Linked DNA regions of Nothobranchius furzeri. The protein of the gene in region 5 purifies or fractionates together with the protein of the main gene of each other region. This does not show direct contact. Links are inferred from orthologs where the notes say so. Each region holds a gene or a part of one and is shown on either strand. Other genes may lie near its edges. The genes, in order: lsm4, tut1, lsm8, larp7 and sart3.

Evidence for each region.
Region 1: the proteins of sart3 (region 5) and lsm4 purify together in Homo sapiens (affinity purification with mass spectrometry; 4 studies listed by BioGRID and IntAct, counting the BioPlex papers as one, with this or other methods). This does not show direct contact. The link is inferred for Nothobranchius furzeri from reciprocal best matches to the Homo sapiens genes SART3 and LSM4.
Region 2: the proteins of sart3 (region 5) and tut1 purify together in Homo sapiens (co-immunoprecipitation; 4 studies listed by BioGRID and IntAct, counting the BioPlex papers as one, with this or other methods). This does not show direct contact. The link is inferred for Nothobranchius furzeri from reciprocal best matches to the Homo sapiens genes SART3 and TUT1.
Region 3: the proteins of sart3 (region 5) and lsm8 purify together in Homo sapiens (affinity purification with mass spectrometry; 4 studies listed by BioGRID and IntAct, counting the BioPlex papers as one, with this or other methods). This does not show direct contact. The link is inferred for Nothobranchius furzeri from reciprocal best matches to the Homo sapiens genes SART3 and LSM8.
Region 4: the proteins of sart3 (region 5) and larp7 purify together in Homo sapiens (affinity purification with mass spectrometry; 4 studies listed by BioGRID and IntAct, counting the BioPlex papers as one, with this or other methods). This does not show direct contact. The link is inferred for Nothobranchius furzeri from reciprocal best matches to the Homo sapiens genes SART3 and LARP7.

What each region holds. Positions count from the first base shown.
Region 1 is NC_091748.1:65,760,745-65,767,488, reverse strand, and holds lsm4 (U6 snRNA-associated Sm-like protein LSm4), read left to right. Parts: upstream 1-2,481; 5' UTR 2,482-2,618; coding exon 2,619-2,621; intron 2,622-3,430; coding exon 3,431-3,472; intron 3,473-3,957; coding exon 3,958-4,056; intron 4,057-4,561; coding exon 4,562-4,742; intron 4,743-4,822; coding exon 4,823-4,929; 3' UTR 4,930-5,440; downstream 5,441-6,744. Other genes in the region: probable ATP-dependent RNA helicase DDX49, read right to left, coding at 6,696-6,744. UniProt on the Homo sapiens protein: Plays a role in pre-mRNA splicing as component of the U4/U6-U5 tri-snRNP complex that is involved in spliceosome assembly, and as component of the precatalytic spliceosome (spliceosome B complex).
Region 2 is NC_091756.1:31,148,451-31,153,625, reverse strand, and holds part of tut1 (speckle targeted PIP5K1A-regulated poly(A) polymerase), read left to right. Parts: intron 1-365; coding exon 366-556; intron 557-656; coding exon 657-863; intron 864-1,062; coding exon 1,063-1,177; intron 1,178-1,271; coding exon 1,272-1,399; intron 1,400-1,499; coding exon 1,500-1,726; intron 1,727-1,810; coding exon 1,811-1,920; intron 1,921-3,395; coding exon 3,396-3,518; intron 3,519-4,413; coding exon 4,414-4,506; intron 4,507-4,585; coding exon 4,586-5,175. UniProt on the Homo sapiens protein: Poly(A) polymerase that creates the 3'-poly(A) tail of specific pre-mRNAs. Localizes to nuclear speckles together with PIP5K1A and mediates polyadenylation of a select set of mRNAs, such as HMOX1.
Region 3 is NC_091741.1:34,218,463-34,225,127, reverse strand, and holds lsm8 (LSM8 homolog, U6 small nuclear RNA associated), read left to right. Parts: upstream 1-2,877; 5' UTR 2,878-3,502; coding exon 3,503-3,533; intron 3,534-4,000; coding exon 4,001-4,041; intron 4,042-4,510; coding exon 4,511-4,638; intron 4,639-4,761; coding exon 4,762-4,852; 3' UTR 4,853-5,073; downstream 5,074-6,665. UniProt on the Homo sapiens protein: Plays a role in pre-mRNA splicing as component of the U4/U6-U5 tri-snRNP complex that is involved in spliceosome assembly, and as component of the precatalytic spliceosome (spliceosome B complex).
Region 4 is NC_091742.1:73,347,576-73,353,734, reverse strand, and holds part of larp7 (la-related protein 7), read right to left. Parts: intron 3,266-6,159; coding exon 3,101-3,265; intron 3,021-3,100; coding exon 2,918-3,020; intron 2,840-2,917; coding exon 2,543-2,839; intron 1-2,542. UniProt on the Homo sapiens protein: RNA-binding protein that specifically binds distinct small nuclear RNA (snRNAs) and regulates their processing and function.
Region 5 is NC_091757.1:45,783,176-45,788,063, forward strand, and holds the end of sart3 (squamous cell carcinoma antigen recognized by T-cells 3), read left to right. Parts: intron 1-16; coding exon 17-172; intron 173-287; coding exon 288-426; intron 427-520; coding exon 521-628; intron 629-711; coding exon 712-789; intron 790-871; coding exon 872-930; intron 931-1,143; coding exon 1,144-1,253; intron 1,254-1,329; coding exon 1,330-1,442; intron 1,443-2,024; coding exon 2,025-2,101; intron 2,102-2,186; coding exon 2,187-2,355; intron 2,356-2,425; coding exon 2,426-2,877; intron 2,878-3,353; coding exon 3,354-3,506; intron 3,507-3,604; coding exon 3,605-3,792; intron 3,793-4,349; coding exon 4,350-4,536; 3' UTR 4,537-4,811; downstream 4,812-4,888. UniProt on the Homo sapiens protein: U6 snRNP-binding protein that functions as a recycling factor of the splicing machinery. Promotes the initial reassembly of U4 and U6 snRNPs following their ejection from the spliceosome during its maturation.

The DNA.
Region 1 (6,744 bases), on a different chromosome or scaffold from region 5:
CAGTATCAACCAACTGATTTTATCAAATGAATAACAAGTAATTAGACAATGAAATAATAATGTAAAACAATCTGACCCAATAAGTGTGTGTTTTAGCTTGAGTCCCCCCCAAACGCTAAAAACAAGTATGTGTGTGTGCCCCCCCAAACAGGGAAAACCAGAATGTGTGTGTGTGTGTGTGTGTGTGAGTGTGTGTGTGTGTGTGTGTGTGTGTGTGTGTGTGTGTGTGTACGTGTGTGTGTGTGGGTGGGCAACTTGCACTTTAAACTTCCGAAGCACTTTCAATCACAGTAACTTAAACTTAATTCACTCAAAACACTTCAAAAAGATAAAGAAACAACACAAAAGATCAATCATAAATGAATATCTGATAGTTTGTCAGTCTGGCCACAGCATAAAAACTATTTAAGATATTAAACAATGACAAACAACAAAACGGCTTACTCTTAAAAGGATCCGATGGCGTTTTTGGTACGGAGAAGAGAAAACCGATATAATTTGAAGCAATAGCGCGGTTTTATTGCTTGTTCTGAACTATAGGAGAAACGGAAGAAGAAGTTAGATAGGAAAAAAACAAAAGCTTGCGTGAGCGAACCCCCAAGGCGTCCCTTTTGTGTTCGCGCTGCAGGTCAGATGGTTTCTCCGTTGATTTGATGGTTTTCCGCTGCTTTTCCGCGTCTCGGCGTTGTCCACTTCAGCCGCCTGGCCTCATGCACAATCTGTCCGGAGCCGTAGCAAACGGGTGTCTTCAACCACCAGCTGAAGCTGGAACAAAAGACGAGTTAAGTTTCATTTCGTCTCCCTTTTGTAGACTCTGGCGGTCCGGCGGGAGAAACTGTGTGGCTCCCGCACATGCGCAGAACTTGTTTCCGGTATTCGGCGGTGACGTCATCACATTGCTTCCGGCTCAAGGAATCATGGGAAATGAAGTTGTAGCTGGCGCTGATGTTTAATATTATCTGCTTTTTCAGAGCGCAGATGACAGTTTTTGGAGAAAATGCTGCATAGCAATTTTCTCATGAGGGCATGCTGGCGCTGGAACATATTCCAGCTTTTCAGAGCAAATGACACAGTCTTTTGGAGAAAATACTGAGTAGCAATTTCTCATGAGGGCAGACCCTCTACAGTAGCAACAAAGTATATAGCTATGGCATGGAAATCTCTCCATAGACCCAATGTGAAGAACTGGATGAAACAGATGTTACAGGTAATGCCGCTGGAATGGATTACTTATATCTTAAAAGCCAAGCAACACTTATTTGACAAAATATGGACACCTTTTCTAACATATATTAAGAAGATGGACATAAAAATCTGAGGACTTATAAAGTGGGAGAGTATAGGAAAATACTCGGTCTTCTGACCAGCATTAAGACTGGAATGGGAGAAGCAAAAGCGAGGTGTAATTCGGGGACTTCTTGCTCACAGTTTTGTTAAACATGTCTATGTGCATATTGCCTTCAGTACTATATATGCTCTTACGTTGGAGAGGATCGCCAAAAGCCGAAGCACAACCAAAATTGTTATATTGTTCTACTGTTCTGTTGTTCCCTGATGATTTTATACAGAATGTACTTTCAATATACAACATAATACTGTGTAAAAGGTGTACACAGAAAATTTAATAAAATATACTTTTTGAAAAAAAAATGTAGTCAAAGATCCATCAGATTGATATTTCATATTTCTATGGAATCTCACATTTTATGGTTCATAAGTAAGATGGAAACGACTCATTCTTTACAAGTGCACAAATAACTCAGATTATAAACTTTACAACATTAACAAAATATAGCACCAAGGATCTGTGCAGGACAACCTGCCAAGAATGTGCATTGTTAGTTATAGACGTTATGGTGCATTTAATCTTTAACTGACACCTCTAATGGTTTATTACTCTTAACATTTAGTATAATGGGGCAATTTCAAAATTTACCACTTTGCAATGGCCATGTCCTCCCATTTGAAGATGTTTGTCTTTTTATGCAAAATTCACTCTTGAAGACAAATAATTTGATATAATTTTTATGAAAGCTATGGCTTTAGTAAGACTGCTGCAGCCTTTTACTGCGGTCAGGCCTATACAATTAACAGCATCACATAATATCTTCACCAATAAATAAATTATGAAGTATCAACAAAAAATTTTTTACTTATTGAGCTCATTTATTCTCATCACGTTCTAACTGATTAAAATATGGAGTGTGTTCATAATTATGTGTTATAAATTACTGTAAAAAAGCTTTTCTGATCAAAGTGACTTACCAATGAAACTTTAGCACTGTTTATATTTTCTGCTGGTTTCAAACTACTCCTTCGGAAGACTCTTGTTTGTTCTCATAATTAAGAAAATGATCTATTCAGACACTTTTAAGTTTAAACAGTGGTCTCAGTGTGGCCACAAAATAAAACGCGCGGAGAGAAAGTGCAGGTTTCGACGCTAGGGGGCAGTGTGCTGTGGTGAAGCCGCCGTTTGTAGTAGAATAAGAAAACGCAGAAGGCTAAAAGGAAATCCTTTCCCCAGGCTGGATTCGACCGCCAGAAGAAGAAGAAAGCTGGATTCGACCATTCGCCACAGCCTTAGGTTCGCCGCGTAAAACAAGCTATAAACCGTCATAATGGTGAGTATCTAACCTCTAGTTGTGGGTAGTTGAGAATGTATTCTTTAATAGGTCATCTTTGGTTCGGCTGACGGAAACCGTGTTAACATTTTTAATAAATTATACCGAAGTGAAAGCTTTAAGATGCTAAGCATGTAGCTAAAATAAACCGTAACATTTAGCTTTATTCAGGAGCCAGTAGACCTACCACAACTTCAGAAGTGTTGTTGTGTTATAAACGTGTTTAAATGACCTGATTTAATTCTGTAGTTTTATGGGTTCGGGGTGAATTACTCTATATTCTCATAAGAACAGCAAAAATTACCTTGTTCCTCACACTGGATGCCAAATGTATACGTTTGGGTGTAAAAACTAGATTTTAAAAAGTTAAAGAAGCATGCAAAATACAGTAAATTAATCAAAATATGAACTGCAAAGAAACTATGCAGAGTTGTTGCACACATTTGTGCAAGTAATGTCCCACATTAGCTGGAACGTGTATCAGTTAGTTAAAGGCGGATTATAATCCCAGTATCAGATAAAGGTACAAAGTAAACAGGTTAATAATCAGACTGAAATGTTAATGTACCAAGTAGAAATTAAGCGTCAGGAGCTCAGCTGTTCAGAAGTCTGGTGGCTGTGGGAAAGTGTGTGCCTCCTGTCTGAAGGTAAAACTGTTGATGTTGGTGGTGAAGAGCCTCTGATCGGGTGGTTGCTCTCCAGTAGACTCTGGATTCTTGGTTTCATGCGGTTTATTATGCGTCAGAAATAATGCTGTAAATGAGGTCTATTCTGTTAAATTAGATTTCAATCTGGTGTTTTATTTTCAGCTTCCCCTGTCACTCTTAAAGACCGCTCAGAATCATCCCATGGTGAGGCAAAACCTTGATTTTAAGTCTGATATTCTTTACAATATTGTATCCTTTAGGCTGTGTCATTAGTTATGTGAAGAAGCATCTGTTCTCTATGTAAATAATAACCTGCTTTAGTAAATTACAAGTGAAACTTAAAAAAAATACAGTATGGTGCAAAAGGTCGTTTATTTCAGTGATTGAACTAAAAAGTGAAACTAATGTATGAGATGGACTCATTACATGCAAAGCCAGATGTTTCGGCCTTTATCTGTTATATTTGTTATGATTTTGCCTTACAGCTTATCAAAACCCCACATTCAAAATATCAGACAACTAGAATATTGTGAAAAGGTTCATATTCTAGCCTCAAAGAGTCACACTCTAATTAGCTAATGATTAGAGCTAATTTTTTGTTCTTGACTTTAGTTTAGTTTGTCTGATCTGTTATTAGAACTTGCTCATTGTATGATTTTTAGCTTATAAAGCAGTGTGCTCTTTATTAGCTGGTGGAGCTGAAGAATGGAGAGACCTACAACGGTCACCTGGTCAGCTGTGACAACTGGATGAACATCAACCTGAGAGAAGTCATCTGCACATCCAGGGTGAAACATGCTTCTCCCTTTAATAAAATGTGACCTTTTGACAAAGGGAAAATACCAAAATATTTTAATTTGCTTAATGTGCTTTCATATTTGGTCTCTCATGAGACATTTGTATGTACAGTATATTTGCACAACTGTGTTGTGAAGGACAGCCTGCCTATGTGAACTGAGAAGTCTGCAGAATCCTGCACTGAAACTATCAGAACAGCTTCAGACAACAGCTGAGATACAATGATTGATTCATAGTGACTGTAAGAACAGACACAGTGCGCTAACTGGACCATCAGTGACTGTAATAATTTTTAAATTGTGCAGCTTTGTGGTGTTTTTGTACATGTAAACAAAAGAAAGATGGGTGATCACAACTAAACATGATCATTTGCCTATTATCCCCTCAGTCGGGTTTATTGTGCTAGACTTTAGGTAAATTAACATAAATGCAAAATAGAAGTGTTATTAATTGAGGAATTTAATTTAAACAGAAACTCTCACCATCTTTTTACAGGATGGAGATAAATTCTGGAGGATGCCTGAGTGCTACATCCGAGGAAGCACCATCAAATATCTGCGTATCCCAGATGAGATCATTGACATGGTGAGGGAGGAGGTGGTGTCGAAAGGACGAGGTCGCGGCGGCTCTCAGCAGAATAAACAACAGGGCAAAGGAAGAGGAGGGCCCGGCCGAGGTGAAGGATGCCGTTTGATCAGGTTGGTTTTGAACTCATGTAGAATTGATTTGTTGGACTGAACACAGCTGTTCCTGTAGGTGTGTTTGGTGGTCGTGGGAGAGGGATGTCTGGGCCTGGTCGAGGACAGCAGCAGCAGCAGGATAAGAAAGCAGGAAAACCACAGGGGATGAAAAACCAGCACTGACACACAATGATGCTTCGTTTGTTTTAAACACTTCCTGTTGAGGGACGTCTGCCTCAGTAACAATGACATCAACTCTGCTGTTTCTCTCTGTTGTGATGTTTACAACAACCGATTGTTGCCAGATAATACTTTAGTTTGATTTTTTTAAATCCTTTTTATTGGTGTAGAAAAGTCGAGGCCCAAATTTAGTTTAGTAGATATTTTAACTGGCTTTTTCCTCATTTCTGTAGTTTACTTCCAGCTTTGTTATCTGAAAGATTTTCTTTATAACCACAGCTGGTGAAGCAGTAGAGCGACAGCCAACAGGACTCACTTCCTGAATATTTCTGTTTAAACCTTTATAAGACGGCATGCACTGATTATGCTTTCTGAAAAAGAATAAAACGTTCTCTTATTCTCTAGTCCAACATGGAGGAGTCCATACTTCCTTGGGTTGATTGTGTTTCGCTTAATTTTTGTAACAAACGACATGGTAATTTATTTACGAGAATAAAAGTTTGTTTGAGCAGTTGCAGTTTTCCTTTAAATCTTCTGATTGTCATTTATTTACAACAGGTGTGTTTAAACTGGACATGGCCTTAAAGCCAGCAGCTTTCATTAGCAGTAAAAGGGCAGAAGGCCCAAAGGGGAAGTAACACAAACTTAATCTGAATAAAATATACAGCAGAAAGTTAAATTTAAGGACTAATCACAGAATTGGATCATTTGACCTTTAAATTTTTTGTATTTTTGAGCCGTTGTGGCTACAGATGATAAAAACTAGAAGTTTAGCAGATATTTAGAATATTGTGGAAAAGTGAAATATAGTAAACTCATGACGTCACATCCTAATCACCTTATCAATGCCAGAGGCATGTTTTCAGCACCAACACACCTGGTTTGAATCAATGTGATTAACAGCCGATTTGAGGCTCAGGAAACCATTACAGGTGTTTGTGGGTGATAAGCTGATTAGGGTGTGACATGAGTCTCCAATATTTAATCTCTATAGTCGATACAATATTACTAATAAAATAATTTCATTCTGTAATTCACTTTCTGAAACTACTCAATGAAACTTTTCCCACTATATTTAATTTTTAAGAAATGCAGCTTTTTCCTTTAAGACCAGGTTCTTCTTTCTTCTCCGTGAGCCTTGGCCTCCATATTTCAAACTAAAACTAGATTTTAGAACAATTGAATAGCCCTGATCTAGACCTGGAGCAGTGGGATATGTGATCGTGTGGAAGACGACCATTAAAAATGATAATGGGTCGAGTTCAGATGAACCAGATATGGAAAGGCAAGAAAACACCACCAGAGGAGCCATCAAACCTGGTAGCAGCAAGCCCACCGCAGCACCCGAGGTACCCACACAGGGTGAAAACGGGAGGGAGGTCATAGGCCCCACCCAGGCAGCAACAATTGACAACCACCCCCGAAGCAAAGGACCCCCCCACACACACAGAGGAAATACAGGTGAATTTGATCATTTTCATGTTTGCTTTTATAGAGCCGATAGAATGACGAATGCTGAGTCTGTGGCGTCTAAAGGTCAGATCCAAAACGACCGATTTTGTCACACAGCTGGAGCTAAACTGGACTGAGGCATCAATAAGCTGTAGATACATATTTGAAGCCTGAAGTCTTCTTTGCAGTGACATTTCATGACAAGATGGTGGTTCACTTGTTCAAACTGAATCAACAAAGATTGTTAATGTAAGCGGTTTGAAAGATGAATGTTCATTTGCAGGTGCAGCAAAAAACATTTGGAGCTGAAGCTGTCTTCACGATGCAGCTGACTCCGCTTCTTTCTTCCTTTTTATCTGTCTTTTC
Region 2 (5,175 bases), on a different chromosome or scaffold from region 5:
AAATTAAAAATTTAACAAGTGCAAAACTATTGACTACATGTGTCTGCAGCACGATTAGACACACATTTATTTAGTTTCTCATTTAAAAAAGGTTTATTTTTGGGTGACTTGCTCTTTAAATCCAGAAACAGATCCATTTGTTTAGTGTAAGATAAATCTGAACATCTGTAACGGTGGCTGGTAAAACGTTCAGACTGTTCTTTACATTTTTACTTACGGAGATCTCAACTTGTGTGTTTAAAATTTAATCTGCAAGAAATAGTTCTTTAGAATAAACAAAAACTTGATTAAACACAGTGAATCAGGATGTAAAGTGGTAGAAATCCCTCTGATTTACTAAATACTTTGATGTTGTTGCCGACCAGTGCCGAGTGTCGATCAGCATGTGAAGGGGCGAAAGCATCAGACCCTGACGACTGTACGAGACACCAGGAAGAACCAGGAGGAGCACAGTGTGTTTGTCAGTGGCATCAAGCCTGAAATCTCTCAGACGGACATCTCCGAATACTTCCAGCAGTTTGGGGCCGTCACAGATGTTATCATGGACAAAGGCAAGGTGGGACGGACTTCCTATTAGATGAAGCCTTCTCATGAAAGAGGCCGGGTGTTATAATCATGGGCAGAGTGACTGATGGTGTGTGTGTTTGTGCTCACAGGGTGTTTTTGCCATCGTGCAGTTCAGTGAAACGGAGAGCATCCAGGCAGCTTTGTCCTGTGTAGAGCACCGCATGAAGGGGCTGAAGCTGCGGGTCAAGCCTCGAGAAAAGAAGGAATTTAAGTTAATTCCCAAGAAGAAGAACAACCCCCAGAACCTCCAGCAGGTCCTAGATCGTCTCAGACCCGACTTGTGTCAGCTGGGATCTGTGAGCATCCGTACTAGAACTGATTTGACATAATCAGAAATGAACCGTGCAGCTGGGCAACATATTTATTACAGATTATTTAAAGAAAATACAGCATGATAATCCTCATGGTTCATGTGTCGTACAGCTCAGTAAATCAAGTGTTTCTATTTTTCTTTTTGAGATGATTGAACTAAAACAGTTTTTCTCGCTCCTTCAGGTGGATGCCCAGATGAAGTTCATAGTTGAGCGATTTCAGCTGGGAGAAAATGAAAAGAAGACTCGAGACTTGCTGGTTCAGCTCCTTCAAGAGGTTTTTGTTGAATTCTTTCCAGGTGAGGGCTTTAAAACTTGTAAACATTCAGATTCTGTGGCTTAATGATAAAAAAAATCAGCGTTTTTCTGTTTTTAACATTACGTGGGTCACAGACAGCCAGATTCTGCCCTTTGGTTCATCTGTGAACACTTTTGGCGTCCACTCGTGTGACTTGGACCTGTTCCTGGACCTAGAAAACACGAAGGTGTTCCAAGCTCGGGCCAAGTCCAGCACAGAGCAGGTCTGACTGTTTATCTAGGTGCAAATCTTTGTAGTTCACACATTCGGAGCTAAAACGTCACATTTTTCTAACAAATTCCCTCCCTGCGCCCGGTCGTCAGGCGGGTGAAGGAGTGTCAGACGATGCCCACTCTGAGGACTCCATCCTGTCTGACATCGATCTGTCCACAGCCTCTCCAGCTGAAGTTTTAGACTTGGTTGCCACCATCCTCAAGCGCTGCGTCCCCAGCGTGCACAAGGTCCACGTAGTCAGCACCGCTCGCCTCCCTGTGGTCAAGTTCCATCACCATGAGCTCAACCTGCAGGGAGACATCACGCTCAACAACAGGTCTCTGAGGACGGTTTTACATCTCTGAGATGTGAATTAAATGAAAACATGCAGGAGTTATTGTTTTCCTGTTTTGTTTGTTAGACTTGGCGTGAGGAACACGCGTTTCCTCCAGCTGTGTTCAGGGGTGGAGGAGAGGCTGAGGCCCCTGGTCTACACCATCCGCTACTGGGCCAAGCAGAAGCAGTTAGCTGGTAGGATGCAGTCCTGTTCATGCTTTCACCAGCAGATGTCAGCAGAGCTACACTGAGTCTGATCCTCATTTGATCGTTGTTGTTGAATCCTTTTGTGTGCAGGCATTGATATTAAATGAAATCTTATTAAAGGGATTCTGCTGTGAAAAGCAATTACCTTTTATTCCAGGTCCGTGTCTTCCTTTGAACTCCCCCCTCGGTGCTGCAAACACACCTTTCATTAAAGAGTGTGTGATGACATCTCAAAGTGTCATTTTAAGATGAAATTGTGGACTTGGAGCGATTGCTTTGATCATTGAGGCCAATTTCCACAAATACAAATAATCAAAGCAAATTATTGCGTCTTAGAAACAAACTTTTTAACTTCAAAACACATTTAACACAATATATGAAAGAATTTGAGTTTCTGGGAGACTAGTTGAACTCAGGAATCACGGTTGGTTATGTAGAAGGTAAAGCCAGTCTCCATCGGTATAACACAGCAGCACCTTTTACAGAATCTCCTCATAAAGTTACACATTTTAAATGAGAGCTCTGGGTTAATCAAAATGTTTTTGCTATTTCGATTTCAGCTCCAGACAATCACAAAAAAAACTTTCAGCTAAGTTTTATTATAATCTGATTTGGATCTCATATTTGGCTTTGGCTTCATGCTTGTGAAGGACACACCTCCACCCCGTCTGACAGCTAGACCCCTGCTGGGGTGGAGCTTTAACAGTCAGCACGAGGAAACACAACTGGCATTGATATATTTTTAATTATGACTCCTTCGTGTTGCCAACCTAGTGACTTTGTTGTTTTATTTTGCAAATTATTCAATCTTTCTTGTGACTCGTTCACACCAGGTTCACACATCCCCTCCCACCCCCCCACCCCCCCACACACACACACCAGAGCACCAGCATCTGTCCATCATCCAGCTGCAGCCAGGATGAAAACGCATTCCCTCTGTTGTGCATTGCCCAGCGATATGCTTCCATACGGGTCTGTGTGCAAGCATCGCCGTTCCTGAGAAAAAACACATTCTTGTGTGTTTTTGGACCTCCAGGCTTCTGTAGCAGCTCTCCTGCTTTAATGACAGTGCCACCTGGTTTCTTCGTGAACTAATTTAGTACTGAACGTTAGTATTTTGAGGCTGCGCAGTGGCGCAGTGGTTAGAGCTGTTGCCTTGCAGCGAGAAGGTCCTGGGTTCACTTCCCAGCCTGGGATCTTTCTGCATGGAGTTTGCAGGTTCTCCCTGTGCATGCGTGGGTTCTCTCTGGGTACTCCGGCTTCCTCCCACAGTCCAAAAACATGACTGTTAGGTTAATTGGTCTGTCTAAATTGTCCTTAGGTGTGAGTGTGTGTGTGTGCATGATTGTTTGTCCTGTGTGTCTGTGTTGCCCTGCGATGGACTGGCTCTCTGTCCGGTCACACACAGCAGCCTCATTATAACATGACATAGCACAGACATTTCCTGGTTTATCATCCTGCAGGTAATCCCAGTGGCTCGGGTCCTCTCCTCAACAACTACGCCCTGACACTGCTGGTCTTTTTCTACCTGCAGAACTGTGATCCTCCTGTCCTCCCCACCGTGGACCAGCTCAGAGATATGTCCTGTAAGTCCCACCTGTCCGCTCCTACATCAGCAGGTGTTGTTTGCACGTGCAGACACGTGAGGTGGAAACTGCACGGGTGTGTTTAAAATTATTCATGCTGAAATTATACTTTAGGGTTTGAGTTAGTCTTATTTGAGCTATCAAGGGAAAAAAAATGTTTTTATTTGGGGGGGGGGGGGGGGGGGCGCGCGACTAAATCATCTTTAGAACTAAGATTTTTCCTCAGATTAAGATGAAAAAATGTACAGAAAACTAAAATGTTGTATAATTTATTTTGGTTATGTCTGTTTAATTTTCCACATGGAGTTTTCTCTTCTGTGACGTGATTAATCAGGTCGATGTGACCACCTGCAGCTACCGTTCGCCTCCAGCTGTTTTATTCTCCCTATGTAGCGATGGAGTAGTAATCATACATTTATGTCCTGAATAGATTTTAGACTGAATTTTGTCTCGACACCCAGACGGTTTAACCCGAGTTAAACACAGCAGCACAGGTAACTATCTGGACTTGTTTGTTAAAAACTGGATTATTCTTGTTTATTCTGTGTTCTTTGGCATGCCCAGTCTCTAATCTGTGCTAGTGATGAGTGTGATGAGAGTTATCACTGGGGCGAGGCCATATCTCTTGATGTTTTTATGATGCTCTGTATGTCTACATCGTTCACACACGATCCAGGATGCTGCAGCTCATCCTTTACCCGTCGGTCAACGACAGGAGCACATGCCACCAGCCGTAGCTTCTCTCCACTGGCCTTCTGTCAGTTTAGGACTGATTTAGAGGTTTTACTGCTTAGTTTTCATGTTTTAACAAACCAGTTTCTCTTCAATGGCTTTCTGTTGTCCTTAGAGCCGGGAAAGTAACTTTAACTGTGTGTTTTTTTATGATCCTCTGCAGGTGAGGAGGAGGAGTGTGTGATTGAAGGCTGGAACTGCACCTTCCCAAGTCAGCCGATCGCTGTGCCGCCCTGTAAAAACACACAAGACCTCTGTAAGTCATTTAAAAACAGAAACATGCTTCCTGCTGACATTTCCAAGCATCACTAAACCTCCATGTTTTCTCTCTTCAGGTTCGCTGCTCGCTGGCTTCTTCTCCTTCTACGCCCAGTTTGATTTTGCCGGTAGCGTCATCTCTTTGAGGGAGGGACGTGCTCTTCCGATCACAAAATTCCTCAGCCAGAATAAACAGGATGAGACGATGCAAGAAGAACAACCCACCAAGTCCCATCTGCCTGGTCCCAAACTGGGCCCCCTGAATCTCCTGGATCCCTTCGAGCTTTCCCACAACGTGGCGGGAAACCTGAACGAACGCTCTCACCGCAGCTTCCTGAAGGAGTGCCAGGAGGCTGACAAGTACTGCCGCAGCCTACAGTACCAGCACAAGTCCACTAAAGGGAAGTCCTGGGGACTTGTGCGCTTGTTGACCCCACACATGGAGGTGCAGCAGACAAAACCAGAGCAGCTGGCCATCAGCATCCCCTTCAAGGCCACTTCGCTGCCTGAGAAGCTTCAGGATGAGCTGCAGGTGGCAGGAGATGGTTTCAGGCTGCTGTGGTTCCAGAAGGTTTGTTGTGCTGTGGAGGTCGTACTAAAAACTGTCCTCAAGTGCCTCCTCCATGCTCCTGCAGATGCTGTGTTTAGAGAAGATCCAGCTGCGGCT
Region 3 (6,665 bases), on a different chromosome or scaffold from region 5:
AGAAGAGAAAGCAGATGAAGAGAGGCGGGACGGGAGTGTTCATAACAAACTTGAAGCGGTAGTCCCATCGACATACATATCAATCAATTTCCCTCTGGGATTAATAAAGTATTTTTGAATTGAATTGAATTTGGACAATGGGTTTCCATAGACTCCAATAATAAGTTTTTGTACTAAAATGGGAGGTGGCCACCACCGCCGTTTTGACCGTGTCACAGGTTCCGTCAAGCCCAGACAATTCCATAAAAGGGAAGAGAGGTGGAGCTGAGGGTGGGGCTGTAAGGCTGGGATCAGCTGACAACACCTGGTCGAACTAGCTACAAGCTAACCTGAAGCTAATGCGGAGGTGGGAGCTAAGCTAACGGAGGTAGCAACCTAGCTACAACCGGAGTTAACTGTGCACAACATCAGAGCTTCTGAGTCAGAGATACGCCGGGCTGACCGCTGGGTAAAACCGGGTGGAACACAGAGGTCTCCGAGAGCTCCCCAAGCCGGCAGCTGCACAGCAGACAGAAAACGCGATCAGACAGAGATGTGCTGGGCTGCGGGGAGGGAAGAACCGGGTGGAAAACATCGGTCTCCCGAGAGCTCCACAAGCCGATAGTGGGAACCCAGCTCCACCAACATGTTATATTTCAACCCATTTTCTAAAGTGCAGCATTATGTTAAATGCACTGGGTTTTACCCTATTACATTTACATTTCATGGTTAAACAGTACATGTTAAAATCTAAGCTCAGCTCAGCAGTGACCTAAAATACATAAATATAATTTTACTTACCGAAAATAATGAAGTGGAGACTCCTTGGACGCTCTATTAGTGCAATTAATGCCACAGCAAGTCATTTTGTCCAACAATTACACAAAAAATATCCAAAAAGAATACACACACACAGAGACTCAAAATCCCGGAGCAGTTTCCAGGCCAGACCGAGGCTCTACTGAGGCCTTTCCACGGAGCTAGCTCTGTGGTCACGTGGGTCAGATGCCAGAGGTGGAAAGAGTACTAAAATTTCCTACTTAATTACGAGTACCAATACTTTGATAATTTTTTACTCAATTACAAGTAAAAGTACTTGCCTAAATTTTTACTCAAGTAAAAGTAAAAGGTATCGTAAACAAAATGTACTCAAAGTAAAAGTTACTTAGTTACATTTTTGTCAGCGTAAGGATGGCTACATCTAAGTAGTGCTAAATCGCAACGGCAGTTCACAATTCGCTTGTGTGTGCGCACACACACACTCAAACACGCACGGCTTGAAGGAAGGATTTCTATCCAATCAGTGAGAACAGGACGTGCACATTGATTGGACGAGGTTTTTCTAGGATGGTAAGTTTCAATTGTGATTCAAATTATTCTTTATTTTGAGAAAAAATAATTTTTTTAGATGCCATCAGCATGTGAGGTATCTCAATGTCCTCATGACAAAACTCTAACATGAGACTGTGCTCTAACCTGTCACATAGCAAGCCTAATGCAGTCAAACATGTCAGATGGACCGTATGACAGCTGCTAACGTTGGCCCTGCCCTACTTTACCTCTACATTACAGTTCCTTTATCCATGTCCATCCTAGAGATCCTCTCTGACCTTCATGCTTATTTAGAGCAGCTGATTTTTAAAGCTAGCAGAGTTCATCCTTGGCAGTGGGTTCACTCACTCATTTAACCCTTCACCACTGAAATCAGTTTGTTCATTTCAATCCTCCTAAATAATCCTCCAATCATCCAACTGGAATCCTTAAGGGTCCCGTAACATCCATCCTGTCAGAACAGGCCTTGGGAGCCCAGGTGTTACTAGAACTAACGGTGTCTCCTCACCAGCGTGAGCCTCCAAACATGAACTTTAAATTCATGCATTTATCTCCTCTTGTAACACTTTAACATGTTTTAAAAGGCTTGTATCATGATAAGTTACACCTCCCAGACCAAAGATAAGATAAAACATTATCATAAACACTGCAGAGACGTCATTATTTATGAAATATATGTTATTTTCCTGAGCCGTTACTTCACCCAAGATATGAGATGCATGGATTTGATGAAACCACGCTGTCTCATGCAGTCCTATATGTGTAACACACACACACACACACACACACGCACGCCATGACTAATTTAACTACATTGAATTGCTTTAGTAATAATTTAATCTCTAATTCTGGAGTAAAATAAAGAAACAAGCTAAATCATCACATATCTGTGGCATCAAGGAGCAACTTCTGAGTTCAAACACAGGGATGGAGCACAATGTTTACACCTGAACAGTATCATGATGTTTTAACTCACAGAGGCCTGCAGCTCTTCTGTTTATGAGCAAAGCGCTGATAATCCGCTTGTTATGAGCACTAAACAGTATTTTGCCGCTGCCGTGCGGAGCGGTAGGGAAACACATTTCAAACACGGAACCGAGTCTCGCTACCGAACCGAGCAGAATTCTGATGATGTCACACTGGTGCGCGAAGGTGCAGGTTCCAACCACAGGAGAGGAGGGAGAGAGGTGATAAACAGCGAGTTGATCGACTGAACTGATGATGTCTTTGAGCAAAAGTGTACACCCCCACACACCCCCGGTTTAGATGCGGTCCTCATGCAGGTGTCTCTTTCCGTTCTGACGCTGCTTCACGTAATATTTTTAATTTATTAAGCCTATAATTTATTTTTACTCAGTAACGGATATGATTTAAAATGTAGCGAATTACAATTCTTTTTAAAAAACTTACTCAAGTAAAAGTACAGATTTTAAAAATGACTTAAAAAGTATAAATATACAAAAAAGCTACTCAATTACAGTAACGTGAGTAAATGTAATTCATTACTTTCCACCTCTGTCGGATGCTCGAGCATCAGGAAGCAGAAAAGGAAAGACAATAGAAAATGTTTAAAGGGAGGAAAACGTAGACCAAAATGAAAAATAAATTTAAAAAAGGCAAAAGCTCAGGAGCACTGACAGGAAGAAGAAAGCAGAGCAAATATTGGAGGCACTCAAAGGGAGAGAAAGACATGAATAAAGAGGAGGACTAATAAAAAGGGAAAATAACTCATGGCAGAAGAGGGGAGAGTTTTGTAAATCCAATTAAAAGTAAGATTGCCGAAATTTATTTTAAGGGGGCCCCATGTCTGTGCTCGCCTTGGGCCCCAAATTGCTAAATGCGCCACTGATAGGGCTATAGTGTGTTTCATTTCTGTACCCAATATTTTGTCTTTAGGGTTGTAGCTCTGACATCACCTACTCACACGTTTAAACAACTTTCCAGATCAATGTTTGATGATAACATTTGGAGGAATTTGAATAAAAAAAACGTCACCGCTCGACCCTCCGCGCCCCTTCCTGCGCGATGATTCGGCGTATGATTAGTCTTGACTTGTCTCCGGTGTTTTGGTGCGGTGCGGTTTGATGCTCTTTCCGTTTTATTTTTTTACACAGCGGCGCAAATAGACAACCGTTGGAGGGATTTACCGATTTTTCTGCTGGACAGATAGAGACCGAGTCCGGGACGAAGCATGTCCACCGCGCTGGAGAGCTACATCAACCGTATCTTGCTGCTAGCATGCTAACTGCATGCTTAAGAAGTGCTAGTTAGCTTAGCGCGCTAGCTTCGATGTTTATGTAATTTGTTGTTGTTTAGGTGGAGTTTAGAGACGGTAAAAGCTAAAGCGACAAAAAAACTACTCATTTTTATTTAGAACTGAATGAACATACCTGGAATAACTTTTACGTAGCAGTTCAATTTCAAATCAGTGTTTGCATAAAAAAAAATCACTGATAGAATTTTATATGATCAGATGGCGTCAAAACGTAGATATTAACGGTTCTGATCTGCGTTAGTTCGGTTTCACGGGTTGTGAATAAAATATATTTAGTTTGTTTCTGATTTAAGATGTCGGGTTATTTAACTGAAGCACACCCATCGTTGTTGTTCGGGTGAAAACGGAGAAGCTAGACGTAATTTACTGATGAGTTGTGCACAGATGATGTTTCCTTGACTCCAGCTGATCCAGGAACTGTTGCCATCGTCACCTCAGACGGGAGGATGATCGTGGTGAGTTCACGTTTTCAGCTCAGCTGGACAGCAGAGAAGATGATACGGTTCTGGTGTTTAGATGTTTGAGGCTCCAGCACAAGGATTTCCCCTCCACCTGAACCGAAGCCTCATTTAAACCGGTGTCGGTCACAGGGGATTTAGTTTTTCCCTCGACTGTAAATCCAGAAATCTAGTCCTGTTCCCATCACTACAGATGCTGACAGACACGTTTTTACTTTTATGGTCAGATTTTTACTGTTTTGGGGCATAAAACTGCAGATAACTGAAAATCATTTTGAAATAAAAGTTCAAGTGTAATCTGAACTATTAGTATTTTATTAGCCTGGTTGTTTTAAGTATGATTCATTGTAGCTCAACACCACCAGCGTGTTGATGAATAATAATATTAAGTTGCTTTGGAATCCTCTGACTGAAAGGTGCTGTACTTATTTATTTATATTTATTTATTTATCATTTGGGTGTTCAGGGCACTTTGAAGGGCTTTGATCAGACCATCAACCTGATCCTGGATGAGAGCCACGAGCGCGTGTTCAGCTCCAACCAGGGGGTGGAGCAGGTGGTGCTGGGCCTCTACATCGTTAGAGGAGACAACGTGTGAGTCACCTCGGTCAAACTAAAACTAAATGAGAAATGATGACCCCTAAGGACGTCCCGGTGCACGGGGAGCTCGGCTGCTCCTCGGACAGCTTCTAACCGTTTCTCGTGTTTCTGCTCCAGCGCCGTGATCGGGGAGATTGATGAGGAGACCGACTCCACGCTGGATTTAGGGAACATCAGAGCTGAGCCGCTCAACTCTGTTGTACACTGACCTTTGAACCCTGCTGTCTCCATGGCAACCCATCACAGTACAGCTCAGTTCTGTTGCTGTCGTGTTCTGGGAGGCGTGATGAGTGGTGAAGCTGCAGAACCTCGATTGTTCTGTTTCTGTTTGTATTTTTTATAAATAACATGTTGGATTTGTTTTCTACTTCATGTTTTTGTCAGTCTGAGATCATTTTAATAAAGTCTGATTTGTTAAGCTGTTTATAATGAAGTCCTCCGGTCTCTAAACATCCAGACTCTGGAGCAGAACAAGAAAACAACACATAAACAATGAAACTTTAATAAAATATGTGGAAAAACAAGATCGTTGCCAAAGAAACATTAAATAGCGCCAACTCTACGGCTTTGTTCAAACAGCTCATGGTCTCTATTTTAGTTCTGATATCTTTAGTCATGAATGAGTAATTATTTCTCCATCTGGAAGAAGAATGAGGATCTGTCCTGTTCTCATTTGTCTAGCATCGATTAATCGGGGCTGCCTATGGACAATCGTTAGCATTGACTGCCGATGCTCGCTTGGATTAGAGGCGATTGAATCCACTTGAGAATCGTTCGTGGAGCCGGGAGAGGAGGGGAGCGCTTTGTCAAGCAGGAATTTATCAGGAGAGCCCCGATGTTCAAGGTTCAAGGTTGTCTTTATTAATCCCCAAGGGGGAAATTGAATTGCCTTGGACAAGTAAACACAACATGCACATCCACACAATAAAACATTCACTGGTCCTAATAAAATATGAAAATATCAAATATACAATCATACGAAATGGTCATTGTAAAAACGCACTGCAGCTGGAATAAAAGAGTTCCTAAAACGTTCAGTGGAGCACCGGGGCGTTAACATTCGCCCACTGAAAGAGCTCCCGAGATCCTTAAAAATGTGGTGAAGGGGGTGATCCTCCAGAGTCATAACTGTCTTAAGTTTACGCTTAATCCTTTTGTCGATGATCATGTCAAATGAGTCCAAGCGTTGCCCAACCACTGAGCCAGATTTCTTGATCATTTTGTTGATCCTGTTTTTGTCCTCAGCAATGAGGCTCCTGCCCCAACACAACACAGCATAAAACAACACACTGGACATAATCCCCTGATAAAACACATTCAAGAGCCTCCTACTTATATCAAAGGATCTTAGCTTCCTAAGAAAAAACAATCTGGACTGGGCCTTTTTAACAACAGCATCACTGTTCCTTTTCCAGTTTAACTTATCGTCGAGGTACACCCCGAGATATTTATATGTCTCCACAGTTTCTACAGGTTGACCTTTGATGACCACTGGAGAGAATGTTCTAAACTTGCTTCCTGGATCCACCCCCTAGGTGAAGCCTACAACAGAAGGACAGTGTGAGCGTCCTGTCACAATGTCCCGATTGATCATGCGCCCTGGCTACTTGGCCAAGGGGATGTCCCTTTGGCTGACTGGTTAGAGCGTATAACTCTCACCCGGGAGTCTGCGGATCGAATTCCGCCTGGGCCCTCGTTTATCCACCTTGCCACACACAAATAAAACATTTCACGTATCGGCAGCGAACCTGGTGTCCCGACGGCTGGAAACCTTGTCCTATTGTTGCAACAACACCCTCCACACCCTAGATGTGGCTTTGGTGTTCGCGTTCCATGTTCCACCGTTTAATTTTTAAAGTCTTCACTGGAAAAAATGATACACAAAATAAATTCACATTAAAAACACTGAAAATAAATAAGGGACTGTATTTTGGAAGTCATTCGTGATAATCCCAAATTAAAGCAAAAAATAAAAACAATCATTTAAAGACAAAGTGGTAGAATTTTATTCTCTGCTTTTA
Region 4 (6,159 bases), on a different chromosome or scaffold from region 5:
ACACATGCATCATCACTTTGTTCAAGTAGGTGTGTATTCTGACGTAACCACCCTCTGTACTCCCAGTGTTCGATCCCAAAGTGAATGAATTAGGCTGGTTAATGGACTTTTAATCATTCAGGTTATTAGAAAGGATGTGGTCAAAAGGTAAACACATGAACAGAGATCAATCACTGAGCATACATGAAAATTTGAGAACATTCCTAGACCGATGCAGACTGTTGTTTTCGCTAGAGGCCGACCGATATATGCCATTTTTTCTATTTCGGCCATTTGCTGGCATTATTTTTTTAAAACGATAACATTTTTTTTAAATCTGCCGCTTTTTTATTGTTTACACCAGTGTTGGGCAAGTTACTTCAAAACTGTAATGCATTATTTATAACTTGTTACCCTCATTTTAAAGAAATTCATTAAATTACAATATTACTGATTTAAAAATGTAAGGCATTACACTACTTTTGCATTACTTTAAGTTACTTTCACCAAAACAACTTCAATATGAATCTGGTAATGTGACGCCCAGTGAGCTCATGACATATATGTGGAAGGTGATGTGGTGTCTGAGCTAGGATTGCTGTTAAAAACAGCCACATATAATAACAGTGCTTTAAAATGATTGTTTATTAAATAAAAGCAACAATAATATGTACTCTCAACACGCTGCCGTCTTATATTAACTGAGCAGGGAGTGGGGTGGTGGGGGCTCCAAGCCTATATTGCCTTGGTCCCCAAATGCCTTGATACGGCCCTGGATGTGGGCCTGACTTCTGGGGTGATCTGATTCTATCACATGTATAAATATTAAATGCTTATATATTATTGCTTTTCACTGGTAAAATGTCTATTGGGGATAAATCTACCTACTTTTTTCTTTTCAAGCACTTTGTTTTGTTTTCTTGATTTTATTTGAATAATTTCCTGCCCTTTCTCTCTCTAACCTTCCTGCACGCTGCATGTTTTCTCCGTCTTCCAGAAAAACTGTTTCCTAGACTTCCTACTTTCTAACTAATCAGCCAAAGGGATCTACACATGCGCGGCGCTCCAGCAGTAATGAGTTGAAATCACCGGGGCACAGATTATGAACTCAGCTGAGGCAAAGCACGTCAGAAAAGCACAAAATACCAGAGAACATGCGCTGATATGAACGATCGCAAGTGAATTATTTTGTTTTAGTGGAGCGATTTTGTGAATGTTACAGCGGCCGCGTGCAGGACGCAGCTGGAGTATTTGAGCCGTTGCCGCTGCGTCCTCTCTGCCCGCAAAGCTGAGTCCATAAATGACGTCATATATGCAGATACTGGATCTTTCTTCGGGTTTCCCGCAATTTGAATTTTTAAGGAACACATCTTGATTCTGGGTTTAAAAATGCATTGTAATTACCGCGTTACTGACAGTTGTACCGAGTAAATATTACCATTTTCTTTCCCTGTAATGCCTTACATTACCACATTACTGCTAAAAGCAATGCATTACAGTAATTAATTACTTTTGTACCGCATTACTCCCAACACTGGTTTACACTTAAGGGAATATTCCACCCCTATGTAGCATTTTGTCTGTTAGATTTCCCAGTTAGGTTAGAGAGAAAAAGGATTTGGTAGCTAACAAGCTCAGTCATTCTGCTGATCTGGAAGCAGTAAGTTATGCTTAGCATAAAACAATGTGAGTAAAAGGAAGGTTCTAGCATAGAACAATTAGCCGCCGACGCGAAAAGAAAGTTTGATTACGTTTAAGGTTTTTTTTTTTTTACGTGCTAAGCTTCCAGAACACATCAAACTCAGCAGTTCAGGTCAGTCTAAACAGGAAGTTAAACACAAAAACATTGTAAAATGTCCACAGATTTTCTAAAGAAAAGTCAGGTGCACATTTCCAGTAGCTTAACTAGTAAAAAAAAAGTATGTCATGTCCTGTGAAACCTCCGTAGCCGAGTTTAACAGAGAAGGAAATAAACCGCAGACCTTTCTGGATGCATGCAGCGGACTTTCTCCTTGCTAGTTACTGCATGAACTTCTGAAATCACGAGTGGTGTTGCAATTCTACCGCTATTTTGTGACATCCCAAGACTAGTGGGGTGGAACACTTTCACTCCCATTTTGCATCCGAAACACTCACTGTTGGAATGATGCTCACAGGTAAATCGCCACTATTACGTTACACGCCGCACACGCATCTGTTGGAAAGGACGGAGTTGCACTAGCCATTAAAGGCCAGTTGGAAATGTGCAGTTAGATCACACAGCACAAAGCCGCTGACGTAGCAACTTTTGAGGGAGCGGGAACTTGGCGTGCCGACTGTCTCACATACACTACATCATAACTTGAGAATAATAATTGTAAACACAATGTGTGGCCAGCTACTGCTGTGCATTCATGAAAGAGAGGTGCTGCTTCCAGTCGTAATCATGGATACAGGGAAAGGGGCTCAAAGGTGCAAAACTTATTTACGACCTCCAGATGGTGTCGTCTGAGTAAAAACTCCAGATTTTTGCTTTTGGTGGGCTTTGATCCTTGATCCTGATCAAACCAGATTAGTGACTCACCAATCTTCGCTCCATCTTTGTCCTTCTGTCCAGACTCACTTTCACTTATTCTTCTAATCTTCGACGGTATGTCACCTTCTGTAGCCTCTGCCGCTTGTGAGCGGCGGCGTTTTTTCTCTGATGCTTTAGGCGGCGTTTTGTGCGTGCTGGCCACCTCTGGATCACAACCGGCAGCTGGGTCTTTCCTCTTCTCCTCAGATGGTTCAGCTTCCATCTCTTGGATTTTCTCTGCTGGGGCTCGCTCTGCTGTAACGTCCTTCTTTTTCTTCTTCTTTTTCTTCTTCTTCTCTTCTTCACCTACAGTGCAATAAAAACAAGGTGTCGCACCAACAGCGTTTAACAACCTAGTTAAGCGTTTTCCATTTGTAAACCTACGCGGTGGTGGATTGTCAGCTGGAAAAGGAATCGGCTTCCTGCAGAGGGTTTTGGGGAAAGTCCCTGGTTTCCTTGGAGCATCTTCTGGTGGATTGTTCAGCATCTAAGACAGAAAAGTCCTGTGAGGCTGAGTTTCTCACAAACAAACTACAGAGTCTAAATCGATTACAACATCCAAGTTACCTCAATGGCTTTCTGTGCTTGTTCCTCCTTTTCAAACTCCACAAATGCAAACCCTTTAGAGTCACCGGTGCTCTTGTAGCGCGGGATGCTAACGTACACAACCACCCCACACCTTGAAAACACTCGTTCTATCCAGCTGTGATTCACATCTTTAGGCAGAAGTTCCTTAAAAAATAATAAAAAATAATACATCTTTAACAGTAATGCCCTTTAAAACCACGAGACTGTCTAAATATGAATCTAACTGCGCCATTTCTCACCATGTGACATGTGTTACTGTGTTGAAAACTGTATGAAACAGTGAAAGCTTTACCGGACTTTTCCAGCAGACGCACAAGCAGCTCATAATAATAATAATAATAATAATAATAATACATTTTATTTGACAGCGCCTTTCAAGACACCCAAGGACACTTTACAACGATGGGGAAAAATAATAAAACAAGATAAACACAGTACAGAAATATGTAGAAACGCTAGGATGCTAAAATTTGAAACAATGTATTAAAACTATGTGGTAAAAGCCTGTTTGAAGAGGTGGGTTTTAAGTTTTGATTTTAAAAATGCGAGAGTGAATGGTGCGTAGATCGGGGGAAGAGGATTCCAGAGGTGGGGAGCAGAGCGGCTGAATGCTCTACTCCCCATGGTGACAAGGTGAGCGGAGGGAGCCGAGAGTTGAGGAGCAGCAGAGGAACGGAGTGCGCGGACAGGAGTGGTGATGTGAACGAGATCAGAAATGTAGGGCGGAGCCAGGTTACGGAGAGCTTTGAATGTGATGAGCACAGTTTTGAAACTGATTCTCTGTTTAATGGGCAGCCAATGAAGTTGTTGCAGGATGGGGGCGATGTGGTGAGATCATGGAGTCCTAGATGACGTGCTGCAGCATTCTGGAGAAGCTGCAGTTTATGGAGGGACTTGCTTGAGAGACCAAAGAGAAGTGAGTTGCAACAATCAACTTTCATAGTGAAATAGATGCGTTTTCCCTGTGAGCTCAGCAAAGCATCCCTTCCCACCAAGAGCGTTTCAGATGTGAAATGGCAGCGAAAGCCTTCCACAAAGCTGGTACCGCATTGTCATCGGAGAACTGCAAAATTACACCTGATTCTAGCAGTATATGAGCATCAAGCAGGAAGACGGCCCCGTGTTCCAACAGGTCAAGGGTTTACGTTCTTTAATGTGGTTTTTATTGCATCTTATTTCTAATTTTTAAAATGAGCCTAAAATTGCCAGTGTAGTGCCCTCTTAAGGTTAAAAGTCAGAACTACATTTGAATTTCAGTCATAGCTAATTGCTAAGCTGGTATTATCTAGGCTAGCCAGTATTTCTAGCATGGCCGCATTACACCGCAGATGAGTCTCGGCCTCTCACAAGAAGATACGAAACGATACGGCTCGGAGCCTTTCACCTCCTCCATTAATCCTTCTGTTTTCCTCTCCTTCCTCTGGTGAAGAAATGCTTCATACTAGGAAGCCTGCTGCTGTTTCACTATCCGAGCAACGTGTGTGTGATGTCATTGTCGGTCACTGGTGCAGTGCAGTAAGACTCCAGTCAGGGTAACTTGTACTTTAAGCAACTGGAAATTTTCACACCACTTTTATTGTGAAAGTTTCAAGATGTTTTACACTGCTTTTGTATGACTTCCTGTTTGCCCTGATGTGAACTGCTGAGCTTGATGCGTTCTGGAAGCGTAGAGAGTAAAAAGTAAGACTTGAAACAAAAATTTTGTAGAACAATGTAACACTACTCTTCAGGGACGCATTTAAAAGGCTGCATGGAAATACTCATCCACTGTAACAGCGGCTCATTGAAGGATCCCCAGGGTTCGGTCCTGGGACCAATCCTTTTTCCTTCTATATTTGCTCCTTCTCAGGCAAATTCTAATGTCACTTTTAGACCGCGACATGCAGTACTGGCGTGCTTTTAGCACCTCCTAGTGTCCACTAATAAAACAAAAAAATGAAACATTTCTCCTTGCTGTGCGTTGGTCCTTTTAACCCCTTAATCCAACAGCTGAAATGTCTCCCCAGGCTTCATTAGTGTCCACAGGGGCGATTCATTTTTGGCATCTAAAACATGCAGGAAACCTGCTGGAAGCAGACTCCAGTGAGTTTGTCAGCTCCGCTCTACTAAGTGCAACAGGAGGCGGCCCACCACTCTGAAGTTGCAGTGCAGTATTCTGGCCAAAGTGGGCGGTAGGGCTGAGTGACATTTCATTAACCCTGTAATGGGTCATTTTAGCGCATACTGGCTCAAGAAAATGATTTAAAAATATAAAAATGTTGCAAAGTATATAAAATTGATGGACGTTCAGATTATTTCATCATGTAAGACCTATAGTTAGCCGGCTCATTTAAAACATTGTACGTTTTTTGACCCTGTCTATTGAAAGAATCTAAATCACTCGAAACCAGAATTGAAACAAGTAATTGGAATCGAATGTGTTCCTATTCAAACATGTCCAACTCTACTAACTGCTGTTAGTTATGCTTTGCAGACGTTATTTGCTGCAGTGGATGTTGTTAGTTTTTTATTTATTAGTTTCAGTCTACAGTGGGGCAAAAAAGTATTTAGTCAGCCACCGATTGTGCAAGTTCTCCCACTTAAAATGATGACAGAGGTCAGTAATTTTCATCATAGGTACACTTCAACTGTGAGAGACAGAATGTGAAAAAAAATCCATGAATTCACATGGCAGGATTTTTAAAGAATTTATTTGTAAATCAGGGTGGAAAAATAAGTATTTGGTCAATAACAAAAATTCAACTCAATACTTTGTAACATAACCTTTTTTGGCAATAACAGAGGTCAAACGATTACTATAGGTCTTTACCAGGTTTGCACACACAGTAGCTGGTATTTTGGCCCATTCCTCCATGCAGATCTTCTCGAGAGCAGTGATGTTTTGGGGCTGTCGCCGAGCAACACAGACTTTCAACTCCCTCCACAGATTTTCTATGGGGTTGAGGTCTGGAGACTGGCTAGGCCACTCCAGGACTTTCAAATGCTTCTTACGGAGCCACTCCTTTGTTGCCCGGGCGGTGTGTTTGGGATCATTGTCG
Region 5 (4,888 bases):
CTATATCTTTCTCTAGCTGGTAGCAGAACCTCCTAAACTGGCAGAATATCAGGCCTACATTGAGTTTGAGCTAAAGGAGGGGGACCCACCACGGATCCAGATTACCTTCGAGCGAGCTCTGGCTGAGAACTGCCTGGTTCCAGACATGTGGACTAAATACACCACATATCTCGTGAGTATTGGTTACTGTTCGCAGTCGTGTCATTACAGCATCTAAGGTTTCAGAAGTAAATAAATGAAAAAATCACAGCTAGTCAGAGTGTAAAAGGTCCTTACTGGTTTTACAGGATCGTCAGCTGAAGATCAAAGACTTGGTTCTGTCCACTCACGAGCGAGCGGTCAGGAACTGCCCGTGGACCATGAGTCTGTGGAAGAGCTACCTGTTGGCCCTGGAGAGGCATGGCAGTGACCATCACACTGTGTCAGGTAGCGGCTAGGTTCAGCATCAAGTCGACCAGTCAGCTGCTTTATTAGTGTCAAGCGTTTGTGAAGCAGATTGATGTTAATCTCTTCTGCACAGATGTTTTTGAGAAGGCTCTGAACGCAGGCTTCATTCAAGCCACAGATTATGTAGAAATTTGGCAGGCCTACCTGGACTACCTGAGGAGACGTGTGGATTTCTCTAAAGGTGAGAGCAGATCTGTGTCTAAAACAGTTGCTGTCTTTAAGTTTTAGTCTGATGGCTTTTGTTTTAATTTATTTTGTTTCTAGAGTCGAGTAAAGAGCTAGAAGAGCTACGAGCAGCCTTCTCTCGGTCTCTGGACTACATGAAACAAGATGTAGAAGAAAGTAGGCGAGCTTCACTTCCTCTACTCTGGACGTTCTTCGGGCCTGGTTTTGGTTTTCACGCTGCCATCTTGTGTCTCTGCAGGGTTTGGTGAAAGTGGAGATCCCTCTTGTGTCATCATGCAGATTTGGGCACGGATAGAGGTAAGATCAGTCACCGTGGCAACCATTTACAGACGCCGGTGTCAAATAATGGAATGACAAAGAGTGAATGAGGCATCAGCTGCTGCTAGAGCGCTGATTTTCTTTAGTTAGATGTTATAAATCTGTTTGTACTTTTCAGTGAAGACTAAAAAAAGTTTGCTTTTTTTTAAATTTATTATAGAAATTCTCATGTTCTTCTTACTTTTCCACCAGGCCCGCCACTGCAAGAACATGCAAAAAGCCAGAGAGCTATGGGACAGCATCATGACCAAAGGGAATGCCAAATATGCCAACATGTGGTTGGAATACTACAACCTTGAAAGGTTTGTCTGTTGGGAGTTGGCGATTCTCTCGTGACTTTGTGAATATTCTCTCATTTCTATTGTTCATGATCCGCAGGGCCTACGGGGACACTGCTCACTGCAGGAAGGCTCTTCACAGAGCTGTCCAGTGCTCCTCGGACTACCCAGAACACGCCTGTGAAGTCCTGCTCACGTTTGAGAGAGTAGAAGGTGAGCTTTGCCCCAAAACAAAGCAAAGGGAGAGTGTTTTATTATTTATTGTTCATGTGTACCGTATTTTCCGAACTATAAGTCGCACTTTTTTTCATAGTCTGGCTGGTCCTGCGACTTAAATACCAAATTATGTATACCGCGCTGCTGCAGGCTGGCTCCGGACCAGGAATGAGCTCCCCTGCCCTGCTGGGAGGGTTTCAAACACCGCCATCACCTGCTGGAGACCGTGGCACGCTGCTGCGCCCTGATTGTTTTTTCTGTTATTGTTACCAGTACTTGTCTTGCAATTTGAAATGCTTGGTCTCAGATTTTGTAAGAAAAATAATAAAATTTCCCCCCAAAATGCGACTTATATATGTTTTTTTCTTATTCATTATACATTTTATGGCTGGTGCGACTTATACTCCGGAAACTACGGTATTTAGTGACAGGATAGAGGCGTCATAATTAAGATTTATTACTGGAGGAACGACTCAAGTGGATGATTTAGCATCTTTGCAGCAAATCCAACTTACATTTCCCAACAGTTGCACTCTCATGTAAGCAGTTAGTTGCTTAAATGTTTCTGTCGTCATGCAGGAACTTTGGAGGATTGGGACACGGCGGTGCAAAAGACGGAGACCAGACTGAACAGAGTTAATGAACAACGAGCGAAGGTAGAGGCACACGTCTCTGCTGCAGAGGGCAGGCGCGTCGTTCGGCTACGTTTGGTTAACGTTACCGTACCCCCCCATTTATCAGGCGGCTGAGAGAGGAGCCACCCAGGTCCGCCAAGAGGAGGAGAGGGTTGAGCAGCGGCGGAAGGCCAAGGCAGATAAGAAGTCTCAGAAGAAGGTGCAAAAGGGTCGAGCTGGAGAGAAGAGGAAAGCGGGACGGGATGACGATCAGGATGAATGGAACAAGGATTCTGGTAAAATTTAGTTAGTGATAAAATGTTGGTTTTAGCAAAATGTGTTTTATTAATTCTTTTTTCTTTCAAGCTCCTAAAAGGCAGAGAGCAGGCGGCGACAACAGCGCTACAGATGAGTTCATGGAGACGGAGACCGAACTCTTAGGGAGAAACGCTCCCCCTGGATATAAACCCGGAGGCGGCACTAAAAAGCCCCAGCAGGAAGCAGGGCTCCCCCCCCGGAACCAAAACGACGAAAAGCCGGAGCTGCGAGACGATACCTCCAGCGTGTTCATCAGCAACCTGGCGTACACCATGGAGGAGCCCGAGGCGAAGCTGAAGGCGCTTTTTGAGACCTGCGGTCCGATCAAGCAGATCCGACCGGTCTTCAGCAACAAAGGGAGCTTCAAAGGTTACTGCTACTTACAGTTCGAGTCCTTGGTGTCGGTCTCCGAAGCGCTGAAGCTGGACAGACGGGAAGTGGAGGGCAGGCCGATGTTCGTGTCTCCCTGTGTGGACAAAAGCAAAAATCCTGACTTTAAGGTGAGTAAATGTAACACATAACTTCTGCCTGGAGGTCCACATCTGGAACATCTTAATCTGCTTCCTTGATATGTGGCATTGATTGAGTTAATCCAGGGTTTGTGATGATTTGACTGTTTTCTGAGGATGATCAGGATTATTTTACAGCTGTTTTAACGTGAAAATAATTATTTTGAGATGCTGAATAATTAAATGACAGACTTGTAAAAACACACAGATGTGCTGAAGTCTCTCTGCAGGTTTCCCATCATGATTAAGCTCACACTTATGTCTCCTCTAGTTTGAGCTCTGACTGGCGTTTTTTGCAGCTCTCATCTTGGCGGTGATTCTGCAGCCTGTTGTTTTCCCGTTAATCCTGCTTTGATGAAAGCTTCAAACTGGGGATTAAATCACATAAACGTCCATCTGATTGTCCTCAAGTTCTGAAAGTTGGGTTAGAATCACACCCTGATGTCTGGATGTGAATTTCCTTACAGGTGTTTAAGTACAACACGTCGTTGGAAAAACACAAGATCTTCATCTCCGGGCTGCCGTTCTCCATCACTAAAGAGCAGCTGGAGGAAATGTGTAAAAACCACGGCTCCGTCCGAGAGGTCCGTCTAGTCACATATCGCTCAGGAAAGCCTAAGGTGAGACTTGGGAGGACAGTAGGGACTAAAGGACGCCCGATAATCAGCACCTGTGGTCCTCCGGCTGCTGAGTGACGTTTGTTGTGGATGCTCCGCAGGGTTTGGCGTACGTGGAGTTTGCTGATGAAGCGCAGGCCTCTCAGGCAGTTCTGAAACTGGATGGCATGGATGTGGAGGGCTGCAAAATCTCTGTTGCTATAAGCAACCCTCCTCGTAGGAGTATGATGGACAAGCCCGGTTCTAGCCGGCCCGCGGCGGATATGATGTCCCGTCAGGTCTACGGAGCGTACGTGAAGTCATTCCTTCTTTCTGGTCTTCCTTTGAAAATCCCACCTCAGACCTCATCTGTTTAACCCTTTGATGCATAATGGTCACTACAGTGGACAGGTACTCAAAATTGTTATTTATTTGTTTTTGCTGTTAAGCACAGCTGTTGAAGACTTTTTTGCATGTGAGCCCCTCCGTTTGGACTTTAGTAAGCCAAGCCAACATATTTCATGCTCTGAATGCACGCTGTCCACTGAGGTGGACATGTAATAAACTATTTGTAAATTATAAAATTTTACAAAAAATATTTGTTGAAATTTGTTTCATCCACACCTAAAGATGAATGAAAAAAATTGTTAAAAAAATCATGGTTGAAGATTTCATAATTCATGCATCAAAGGGTTAAAATGCTGCCTGACTGAACCTGCCTGTGTAATAATAACATTTTAAATAAGCCTTTATTGTGTTCCATTTTAAGATATGAGCGGTGCAAACTGCTAAAACGCGTTACTTTCTTAGCATATTTTGTGTTTTCTGAAGTTACTCTTATGGAAAAAATCATTTTTCTTATTTTAGGAGAGGCAAAGGGCGAACTCAGCTCTCCTTACTCCCTCGTTCCCTGCATCGTCAAACGGCGCCTGTGGGTAAAGTAGAGAACGGGACTGCGGCTGAGCGAGCGACGGCCAGCACGGCGCCCAACGCCGCCGGGGAGTCCAGATCTTTGTCGAACGCAGACTTTGCCAAGATGCTTCTGAATAAATGATACAAAGAGGAGAAAAACAACCGCCTTCACACTGAAAGCCATCTTGTGTCCTTATAAAATAGCGTTGGTGATTTTCCTGTAACTGTTTACCTGAGCGTCCCTTTAATCTGAGACATGGTTGCCTTAATCGTCTTGCTCCCGCGTCGCCAACAGGAACAAACCGGAGAGTCTGGTTGGATGTGGCTGTTTTATTAAGTGTACGATATTTGTGTGTAAATATACTTTAATGGAAGCTGTTTGCTTTTGTTGTGAACTGTTAAAGGCATCCGACGGAAGATTATGTGAAAGTATTTTTTTAAATATTCCAAACAGCAGAACTTGTGAATGTTGTTTAAACAAAAAAAGGTAAATG